3 linked regions of the Neurospora crassa OR74A genome follow. The protein of the gene in region 2 purifies or fractionates together with the protein of the main gene of each other region. This does not show direct contact. Links are inferred from orthologs where the notes say so. Each region holds a gene or a part of one and is shown on either strand. Other genes may lie near its edges.

Region 1 (3,944 bases), on a different chromosome or scaffold from region 2:
GAATCCGCGAGTATGAGACTGGAGAAGCCCACACCGTAATCACCGTAGAGGCCGGCGCCAAATCTCCGTTTTTTGATGGATACAATATCCGGCCCTGAATGTGGTCAATTTGGATCATGAAGCTGAACATGGAACTCTGCGGGCCAAAGGTTCAATGTTTCTATCCGGATGTACGTGGAGGTAGCTTGGCCGAGCTGCCGAGCTCGAGCGGGTCAGGGGGTCGCTGACGCCGTTCTAAGGATCGAACGCGGGGCGGCTCCCACACGTGTGTTTCGGTTCCCAAGTCTCCTCCCGTCCATGCGCGCGGTAAAAGGATGGCCGACGACGGAAGACCGGAAGAATACCTGGACACGACCACGCTGAACACTTGCGGCACCGACATCATGTGCGCGTCTCTGCAATCGCATGTGTCTCGAGGGACAGCGGTTGTCAGACCAGACCTCAACATCGCGATGTCAAAACTGCTTGTTCACTCGCATCGATGTCGACACCGGCATGCATTGACGTCACGGCACCCTTTGGGCCTTTGGGACTACCTAGGTATGTACTTGGCCCTTGCGAGATCCCTAACTCATCCGGGGAAGCCGCCCCTTTTGACAGGTGTGGAAACGTTCCTGCTCCGGGTTTCCAGAAAACAATGTTGGAATTGCCAATTGATGGACGGATTGATAATAGATGAACCCGCCTGCACAATCTGTTCCCTAGCACGTCCTCGACACTCAACGCTCATCATCAATGTTCGTGGAACCTTCGGGGTTGCATGGAGAGTCGGATGGAGCACGCAACCGACTCCAGTAAGGGCTTCATCCAATCTCAGGTTGGATGTGGATCAACGGTTGGGGTTCCTAATTTACCGCAATCCGTCTCGGCTTTGTTGCCTTAGTGCCTCATGCTCTTGGTACGTGCGTCAGGCCACAACACGTCCGACACCTCTCTGCAAGGCTTTCGTTTGCTTGTAAAAAGAAGGTTTTCCGAGCCTTCAGTCACAACAGTTCGAGGCGGGTCATTCGAACCAATCAAGGCGTGATTGGGTGGCTCGAAAAAGTGCCTGCCAGTTCGTTCCTCCCCTCGGGCCACGCATCACAGCCACGGTGCCACAGCAGCACAGCACACAGGCAGCAGGGCAGGCAAACCGAAGCGACGAACGGATGCAATCGAACCCGACAGACGACTCGAGCAGAGTCAAGATCAGGGCAGCCACTACAGCCGAGTACCCACCCATACCTGCACCAACCACCGACCACTGGCACTCCCCCGTCCAGTCCACTTCTTCTACTTCTGCAACGACAACTTTTCTTTCTCCCCGCTTTCCAACCCCAACTCCCTCCTCACTTCTCGCATCACCACCACATCACGCTTTTGTCGTCATCAGCGAAAATAATCTTAAACGCCAACGGAGACCGCCTTCGTCAATCCAGCAATCCAGTAATCGACTAGTCGCCCAGGATTTGTCCATGCATCTCGACTCAGCACACGCTCACCTGGATTTTCTCACTTTCTAGTAGCCTCACAGTAAAAGGGTGCGCCCAGATCACATCCGCGCAGGTCAAGTCCTGATCTTGTCTGCCCTTCGTACAGCTGCTTTCGTTGCGGTTCTTGCACGTCGTCACAGCTATCCCCAGTTGGTGGTTTCCACTTCGCGCGTCACGTCAGAAAAATAAAAAGGACCACCGTATTCTTGCTCGCACACACGCCGGCCAGCAACATATATCTCTGGCCTCTCGGCTTCTCTTTTTTTTGCTAGGACTTTGCACTGGCCTACGGCTTCTGCGCTTGTCTTAAGACGCACAGAAAGGACAGTCTCTTCGTACAAGCTGCTCTCTTCTGAGTACCCGGTGGCGCGGGCAAATTGCAGCTTCGTAACCTCGGTGATATACGTCGAGAAGCAAGGAAAGCAGACCTTGGATGCCGACCTGTTTGAGCCTTAATCAACGTACTCCGTCTTTCCACCCGTGACAAAGGAGCATGGTATTGGCATAAAACCTTTAATCAGCCTTCACCGTATCACAACCGTACTACATCGCAGCTTGTATTTCCAAGCCCAACGGCCAAGTTGATTGCCGACTTCAGCTGGTCTTGCTCGATTTTCAAACAAAAATCATCCATCATGTTGTCGTCACAGGCGGCCGTAGCTGAACTAGAGAAGGGCCTCGGGGACATGCAAAACCTGAAACCGCCCGGTGTCTCTGGCTCGAAAATCAATAGCCTCACCATGCTGTGTTTGAACAACGTCCAGGTAAGAAAAGCGCCGTGTCTGGGCTCGACAGTATGCACGATGGAGGCACCAGAGCTAACCACACATCCTTCGACAGTACGAATCACAGCTGGTTCAGAAGTTATATACCCACTACAAGAAGACACCAAACACTCACAAGCTGGGCGTCCTATACGTCGTAGATTCTGTAACCCGCAAATGGTTGGAGAAGGCAAAGGCCCTTGAACAACCCGTCACCCTTGGTGCACAGGATGGCACCTATGCTGCCGGTGTCCATAGAGTGACTGAACTAATGCCCATGTTCATGAACGCCATCATCTCTTCGGCCCCCGAGGATCAAAAGGTACGCACACAACCGCACACTCATGTGCCGTCTTACACTTATACCTCCATTTCTGCCAAACGGACTAGACCCCGAGCACACTTGGGAGCGGCTGTAAGATCAGGCCACACCAGTCGTCTTCACTTTCCTAGACCATATCGTGCATCCATTTTTGGTTGTATTTAGTGTCCAGTATCATGTTGTTCATAAACTCACACCCGTATCGTCTTGTAGGAGAAGATCAAGAAGCTGGTCGACATATGGGAAAAGGGCCAGACGTTTCCTCCCGATATGGTCAACACCTTCAAGGAGAAGCTGAATGCTCATCAACAGCACAGTAGGTTTTGCCCGGATCCTCCTAAGCATATTCCCTTACGCGTGTGCGGTGCTCGTTGTTTGCCTGATCTAACTGTAGCGTGTGCCGATAGATGTCTCGACAACACCACCAGGCAGTCCCCCTCCCAACCCGCTGGCTTCCTTGCAGGCCACTAGCAGACCTCTCCCTACGCCTACAACTACCGCCGTAATGCCGTCCAACATCCTGGAGACCTTAGCAAATCTTGCCCGCTTGAATGCGAATGCGGCTCAGAGTAATTCCAGCGCGGCCGCCCCTGCTCCCGCCCCGGCCGCAACTGCGGCTGTGGCCCCTTCTCCGGTACAAATGGGGGTCCCGCAGATTCCTCCTGTTACTTCTTCCACGCCGCATCCCATGTTTGCTACTTCTGGCCAGCCTAGCAATGGAGCATTGCCAGCCGGATTTCTTCCCGGTGTGGGGCACCCGGGTATGCCGTACTTATCAGCATCGCAGCCGGCGGGGCAGTCGGTGAACATGCCACCGACGATGCCATTTGGCTTCCCAGCTCCGGCCGCACAGCTAGCTCAGCCTGTGCAAGTGCCAGGAGCAGCCCCTAGTGCGAATACCGCTACGACGGTTCAGCTGTTCGCCGCCCTCGCCGCCCAGGGCATCCCTCTTGACAAGATTGCCAGTGTAATGCAGCTGATGGGTCAACCAAGTGGCACCGCCCCGGCAGCACCTCCCCAGTCCGTTGCTCAGCCTCTATATGCCGGCTATCCTCCTCCTCCCCCTGCTGGCGGTGTATCTGCTGCCCCTGCATGGGAGGCCGTGAGACATGATGAATCACGTGATCGTAATGGCTATCATGATGGGATGAGGTCTCCAAATAGGCCTCGGGGTCGCTCTCGCTCACGCTCGCCGCGGCGCTGGGATGTCAGGGGGTCGCCTCGAGCCCGCGGTAACGATCGCTTTGATTATGGGCGGAGCACCCCGCCCCGTGGCCATCCGGATGATCGTGGTAGAGACCGGGATATGCGTATTCCCGAGTACCGACAACGGTCGCCCCCCAACCGTAGACATGAGAGCCCGGGTCAGGAGCCGCCCTCCGAGAA
Region 2 (3,686 bases):
GGAGGAAGCTATCGAAGCGGGGAGCCGGTTGGTTTCCTCGGCCTGCTCAAAGAGCTTATGGCCGGGGTTTGGCTCCTGGAGCCAGGGCGCCGAGAAGCTCCGGATTTTGGGCATCCCGACTGTGCTTGGTGGTTTTGTGCTAAGAGCTGTCTGTTGTCGCTATACTATCCAACTCGAGCCTGATGAATCCTACAGATGACGGTGGTTCGTGTGGCGCAATGAAAACCGAAGTTGGTGTCTGGCTAGGCAGAAATAGTAGCTTGTGTTGAGGTCCTGCTATGTCCTAGCATGCACGGGCCGGTTTTTGTCGTCGTGCTGCACTTCGCTTTCTCTGCTGAAGTAATGTATGTAGGTGGGGAGGTAATTGGCTATGTAGGTAGGCAGGCGCACTATGGTCGAGGTACGTATGTATTTGATGTACCGGTACTATTAATGTGATGGCGGTTCTCGGTTTTTGAAGATGAAAAAAAAAAAAAAAAAAGGTGATCAAGAGCAAGTAGAACAGAAGCCAAGGGAGGGAAGACAAGGAGAGAGATTGGGATCCCTTTTTGAAGTGGCAGGCCCCTCGATCGATCCCATGGGAGAAAAAGCCAGGAAAGCGAAGTTTGCTAGTGGTCTCGGTTGGCTGGTCAGGATGGTAACAACAAGGTTTGACTAGCGTGTAGTGCTACGGACCTGATGGATGCCCGTGGATGGACGAGTGCTGGATGCCACTATTGTCCAGTCCGAGCCAGTGCTGTAAATGAGGCGTCCAGGGCGTCACTAGAGGCGTCCGCTTCCGTGCCTATGCCGTATATTTTCCGTTGCTTGCCTTGATCGATCGTGTTAGCTTCATTTTAGCGCGTTTCCACTCCTTCCACAGCCCTTTAGTCCGTTTCAACTGTCCGCCGGTGTTCAGTCCAGACCGTGCTCGCCGCCTCGTCTCACACCATCGGTCATTGATCAACAGGAGACAGGCAGGCCGCCCGGGATGAGAGGGGATGGAATGGCCGAATGGAGGTCTTAACGGAGACCTAGCTGTATACATACTATAAATGGTAAGCCCGAGGTAGGTACAGTTGTGCTGTGACGCGCCTGTAAATTGGGTGCCAGATTGCGGTCCAATCGGCTGGCAATGGTTGTTGGATCAACGACAAAGCGCCTCCACCAAGTCCTCCTGCCCTTGCTTCCATCGCTCTGCCCTTGCCTGCCGTCGTCATATTTGCGGGCACCTCGTAAGATAGGGTACCTGACCCACCACCAACGGCTTCCGTCGCCCGTTACAGTGCCAAGACTACCTGGATTGCCATGCAGTGATGTCCGATGCACTGTGACACTGTGCGCCAACAGGACTAAGTGTAACTGACCTGAGCTGAACTGAACTGTGAACGAAGCCTGCAGTGCTGCTGTCGCGGTACACGGGCACACCAGTCGCGCTCAGAAAGTAGCTGCGCCTGTACTTCCACTTTAGCGGGCAACCTAAGTTACCTCTTAGGTAGGTCCAATTCCATTGGCAAGGGAAACCACTGCATCATCCCCATCGACGTCTCAGAACTCCAAACCATTGAACTTCCACTTGGGCTGACAGCTTTTGATTTTCCTTCTTCTTCGCAGTTGCAGGGCACCTTTCACCCAAGAGCAGATAATCCATCTTCACTACCAGGTAACCATGTTGAACACTCGCCAAAGGAGCACCGTAGAGCGCCTTGACAGGCCAAGTGCATACTTTTTCAACAAGGTGAGTGCTCCTGACGGCATTTCCATGCCCAAACATTGCCAATCTCTCCTGTCCATAATTAGCACCCCGTCGACCGCTGACCCATCCACTCAACACAGAATAGGCGCAACAGACGTCACGACCGGGACCACCGCGATGGAGAAAACGAAGACAGTAACATGCATCCCGAAGCGTTCGATGACCCGTTGAAGGATGCGACCACGCTCTACGTCGGCAATCTGCAAGTTTGCCCCACGCTGCCAGTCCTTAATTAAAAAAATCAAAAAAAAATCAAAAGAAACAAGAACTAACCGAATGTACCTCGGCAGTTCCTTCTACACTACCGAAGAACAGGTTTACGAACTCTTTAGCAAATGCGGCGAGATCAAGCGCTTGGTCATGGGCCTCGATCGCTTACAAAAGACACCGTGCGGTTTCTGCTTCGTCGAATACTACACCCATCAGGACGCTCTCGATTGCATGAAGTACATTGGCGGCACCAAGTTGGACGAGCGCATCATCCGAACCGATCTCGACCCAGGCTTCGAGGAAGGGCGACAGTACGGCCGTGGAAAGTCGGGCGGCCAAGTTCGTGATGAGTACCGTGAGGACTACGACGAGGGCCGCGGTGGTCTTGGCCGGCAAATCCAGGCCGAGAGAATGAGGGAGCATGACCACAAGCGCTACGACGATAACGACGAACAATACGGCCGCTTGCGCTAGAGTTGTCATTGCATGGGAGTTACGTGGGACAATGAGGGAGTGCATCATGATCCAGTGCACAGATATTCAACCAGTCGTCATGACAAATCGACACAAAATATGCAAGCCGGCTCTGAAATTACGAATTTTGTTCATTCAGGGCAAGTGGAGGCGGAACAGAGAAGCGTAAAAGACAAATACCCCCTTGGAAGACATGATATTCGTTGTTGTATTGGTATCTTGCTATGGTATTTCGGGAAATTATTGATTTCCCATCCATTCGGTATGGCTCCACACATTCTTCTGTGATGCTCGCCTGGCCGTGTTTGCGCTGCTCTCTGCAGTGGTATCTCAACATGGAGCGAGCAGGAGTGTCCATGATGGACAGGACCTCCAAGTCAGTCAGTCTCTTTGCGAGACGAGACAGGAGGCCTCCTCTTCTTTGCCCCAAGCAAACGGTCCTGTTAGCGGTATCTCCAATGTCACCCATGCCATTTCGCTGCGTAATGTTACAAGTGATATACATGCTTGCACGATATCGTCCATCGTCCGGGTCGAAGGTCTTAGTAACCGGGAGGGTTGACTCTCTGGGACACACGGGTCCACTTGGGAAGCTCTGGAAAAGGAATGCCGTATTAGCCTTGGTCTTTGACTGCTGTGAAGTGATGCACAAGGGTGGCCCGTACTGTGGATGCCCTTGCGGTACCTCTTCTCCTTGCGGTCGAAGATGGTGTACTTGTCCTTGGGCAGCATCTCGGCCTCGGTGGGCATCTCAGCCCTCCAGCGTTCCACCGCCTTGACGGTCTCACCCTTCTTGGCAAGAGCGTTCTCAATGGTGGCGACGACGTTGTCAACGGCCCTCAGTCTGCGGCGCTGCCTGAGCTTCTGGAACTTGGACATGCGCCATGGGATCTTCCTGTTTGCCGCGACATGATTAGCATTTCCGGTAGAACCTTTGGCGCAACTGCAACATAGGGTAGTCGCTTACCAAAGAAGACCCCCGGAGAGGGGGTTGGTGAATCTGAAAGCCCCAAACATTGTGGTGGTGGTGGTGGATGTTTGGGGGGGGAGAGCTGCAACCGGTTCGCTTCGTCAGGATGGGTCCCGAAGGTATCGCGGGAATCGGCGCGGGCGGGCGGTCGTCGTCCAAAGTCCAAACAGTCCCGTCCAAAAAAAATCGCGGGTCCGTTCGCCAACCCCAACCCCGAAAGAACACCAGCTCGAGAGCGGATGCCAAGACCCAGTCTCAGATAGTAGGCCTGGATTCGCCCCTGTAAGGTCCACTGTT
Region 3 (3,210 bases), on a different chromosome or scaffold from region 2:
CTTGGATCGATCAATGTCCAATACCATGTCAATGCTTTGCTCGATCTGCAACACACACTCGCCATCCTCCGGGCACACGGGCCGGATATCGATCGCCATTGTCTGCCATGAGGAGTCGAAGAGCTTATGTCCGTCAAGCAACGACGCAATACCAGCCTTGCCCTTGCATGGAAGAAGCTTAAGAAAGGGTGTCAAGTTCTCGGTACAGACAACTTCGTGGGGTAGCACGCCGTAAAGTAGGTGCATGTTCGTCGCGTTCGCGTCGATGTGGTTGCCCTCGGGCTGGAAGGACATGACGGGACGGGTAGTTCGGGTGCTATCGATGAAGTTGAGAGAAGCACAGAAGAGGCCAGACAGCGCATTGGTGAGCGTCAGCCATTTACGGTCGGCCCTACATGGTGTCTGTAGTTAGTCTCTCGCCCAAGTCATGATCCGCGGTGTTGTGTGGGTGGTGGTGAAACATACTCCTCGTCTGTATCTGCCTCCAGCCACGCCCACATCTCAACACCTGTTCCACCCTCGCGCGCACCATTCCACGGCCTTGCGCCCCAGCTCTCGGCATCCCATCTTCCCAGACTAAACCTCAAGTGTAACTCGCGCGTGCCGGCATGCTCGAGAATCTGGCCCAGCGACCTGGGGAAGAAGCGGAAATTGTGCGCCTCGAAGGCAGAGAGCGATGTGTTGGAGCGGAAGTTGAAGCTGGCGAGCAGAGTCGACAATGGTAGCGGGCGCAATATTAGCTGTTCGTGGTAGTCGGATCGGGAGTTGGAAATGGAATCGGCAGGGGAGGAGGAGGCATTGGCGATCGCAGTGTAGGGCGAGAAGCAAAGAAGAGAAAGTAAGGAGAGTAAGAAAGAAGAAGGAAAGGATGGGCGCATTGTATTAACTGGAGTGAACGCTGTCTATTGCCGTTGTCTATCCATTTGCTTGATCTGTACGTCCACCGCAAAGTACCAAAAGCAATTTCCGGAGACAATGGCAAGACAGAAGTAGAAGTGGAAGACACGACGGCAAAGATGGTGACAGTTCACACCTAACTTTTAACTTTTGTTGGTGTTGCGTTGGGTGCCCTGGCTGCCGTCGGAGGGGATCGCAACTTGGGCACCCCCCCCCATTGCTGATGGGAGGTGCTGGAAGAGTGCCTGCCGCGCCCTGGCATAGCGGGACAAGACCCAGAAGGGAATTGTGGTTGATGACAGCACATTTCCAGTGGATGAACCGGGATTATAGCGGCAACAGGGGAATGGAGGGTATGTAAAGTGGGTCCACTTCCCCGGTTTCAGCGATCAGGTTCCATCCAGCAAGCAGCCTTGCATGCGCGGCTGACTTTTGCGACTGCATTCGACCTCCAAAATCTTGGGAATTTCTCCCAAACAAAACAAAACGTCAGCAACCGCGAAAGCGCTTTACCATCACCAGCCCTCGCAATTTCCGTCAAACCAAAACCTAGCGACGCCTATCGAACCCAAAACATTTTCATAGTAATAATTATAAACAACAAGACCAATCATGGCGGCCGAACAAAGAAAGCTGCTCGGTAAGTCGCATCCCCATACTTCCTCCCACCCCCCTACAAACTCCCACTAACTTCTTCACCCCAACCATGCAGAGCAGCTGATGGGCGGCGGCATCTCCTCCCGCTCCGCCCAACTCTCCCTCACCGACCCCAAAGTCTGCCGCTCCTACCTCGTCGGCACCTGCCCGCACGACCTCTTCACCAACACCAAGCAAGACCTCGGCCCGTGCTCGCGCGTGCACTCGGAAGCCCTCAAGGCCGAGTACGAAGCCCTGCCTGAACAAGAAAAGAAGAAGTACGGTTTCGACTACGACTACATGCGCGACCTGCAAAAGTACATTGACGAGTGCAACCGACGGATCGACGCGGCACAGCGACGCCTCGAAAAGACGCCCGACGAGATCCGGCAGACAAACGTGTTGCTCAAGGCCATCTCGGACTTGGGCACGACCATTGCGACGGGTCTGTTGGAGGTGGAGATCTTGGGAGAGCTGGGCGAAGTGGGGAGGGCGTATGACGAGCTGTTCAGGGTGCGCCAGGCGCAAGCGGCGAAGCAGGAGAAGGAGAGAGAGCTGAAGGCGCTGTCGGATACGAGTGGCCCGTCAGGCCATCAGAAGCTGCAGGTGTGCGACGTGTGCGGGGCGTACCTGTCCCGGTTGGATAATGACCGCAGACTGGCGGATCACTTCTTTGGCAAGATGCATTTGGGATATGCGCAGATGCGGAAGACGTATGATGCATTCCCGAAGGAGATGCGTGGACGGCAGAGGCCCATGGGAATGGGCGGTGGTGGTGATGATGATATGGGTGGTGTGCCAACGGGTCCTGGTGGACGACATGATGATTGGGGTAGAGGCCGTGGACCCAGGAGTGGCGGTGGCGGTTATCGTGGGCGTGGTCCTAGACGTGGTGGGTGGTAGGGTGCTTGAGGCGTCGATGTTAAGGGAAGAAACGGGGAAAGGAGATGGATACGATCCAAGATCTGGCGGAATCATGTGCATTGAAAGGGCGTTGGGGCGTTTTACACTATTCGAGCCTGGGATTTGAAGAAGTCGGAGCTTGTCCCTTTATGGTCTTTATTTTTGCAGCCCGCGTAGAGAAAAGAAGCTATTAGTTATATCATGAGAGCGCAACACACAGACAGGTATAGAATCGACGTTACCAGCAATTACACTTCAATCAATGCGATATAACTCGGGTTACCCTTTACATTGTGCATGATCAATTGCGGTTCCGGCTAGCAATCTCAATTCAGATTCTTGTGGTATCAATTCGTCTGTTCGCTTTTACAAAATCGCTGTTGTCTAGACATTTTTCGTATCACATGAAAGAAACACCTCGCTTCCATCCTCTACGGCCCAAAAAAAATGCCTGTGGTTTCCAGGACCCCTCTACAAGTCGCCCTCCCGAGGAAAAATACACCGAGTCGTCACCAACGGCAAGTTACTCCTCTGGTGTCGTATTATTCTCATCGGAATGCATGTTGGGACCCTTCCACCGACGCATTTGGGTGATATCGGATTCTGTTACCCATTTTATAATGTTTTCCGGGTTGTTATAATGGCGATAGGATTGTTCATCTTCAACGTGCTCGCTTTTCATATATTGAACATCCAGCAATGCTCTGTTACTTGCTGTAAGTGGCAAAACCTGGGATGCTTTGTGGCTCCCGGGTGTTTCTATTGCCCTCTCTG

The links.
Region 1: the proteins of NCU00210 (region 2) and NCU01695 purify together in Saccharomyces cerevisiae (affinity purification with mass spectrometry; 6 studies listed by BioGRID). This does not show direct contact. The link is inferred for Neurospora crassa OR74A from reciprocal best matches to the Saccharomyces cerevisiae genes CBC2 and NRD1.
Region 3: the proteins of NCU00210 (region 2) and NCU05645 purify together in Saccharomyces cerevisiae (affinity purification with mass spectrometry; 6 studies listed by BioGRID). This does not show direct contact. The link is inferred for Neurospora crassa OR74A from reciprocal best matches to the Saccharomyces cerevisiae genes CBC2 and LUC7.

The regions. Positions count from the first base shown.
Region 1 is NC_026502.1:2,700,356-2,704,299, reverse strand, and holds the start of NCU01695 (RNA binding protein Nrd1), read left to right. Parts: upstream 1-1,144; 5' UTR 1,145-2,107; coding exon 2,108-2,236; intron 2,237-2,312; coding exon 2,313-2,558; intron 2,559-2,771; coding exon 2,772-2,874; intron 2,875-2,965; coding exon 2,966-3,944. UniProt on the Saccharomyces cerevisiae protein: Plays a role in sequence-specific regulation of nuclear pre-mRNA abundance.
Region 2 is NC_026503.1:3,018,572-3,022,257, forward strand, and holds NCU00210 (nuclear cap binding protein subunit 2), read left to right. Parts: upstream 1-1,457; 5' UTR 1,458-1,648; coding exon 1,649-1,717; intron 1,718-1,815; coding exon 1,816-1,937; intron 1,938-2,025; coding exon 2,026-2,419; 3' UTR 2,420-2,900; downstream 2,901-3,686. Other genes in the region: NCU00209 (hypothetical protein), read right to left, coding at 1-114; NCU00211 (mitochondrial ribosomal protein subunit L31), read right to left, coding at 2,962-3,014, 3,085-3,314, 3,387-3,436.
Region 3 is NC_026506.1:1,219,775-1,222,984, reverse strand, and holds NCU05645 (U1 snRNP splicing complex subunit), read left to right. Parts: upstream 1-1,379; 5' UTR 1,380-1,509; coding exon 1,510-1,537; intron 1,538-1,609; coding exon 1,610-2,436; 3' UTR 2,437-2,710; downstream 2,711-3,210. Other genes in the region: gpit-1 (GPI transamidase component GPI16), read right to left, coding at 1-391, 466-878. UniProt on the Saccharomyces cerevisiae protein: Component of the U1 snRNP particle, which recognizes and binds the 5'-splice site of pre-mRNA. Together with other non-snRNP factors, U1 snRNP forms the spliceosomal commitment complex, that targets pre-mRNA to the splicing pathway.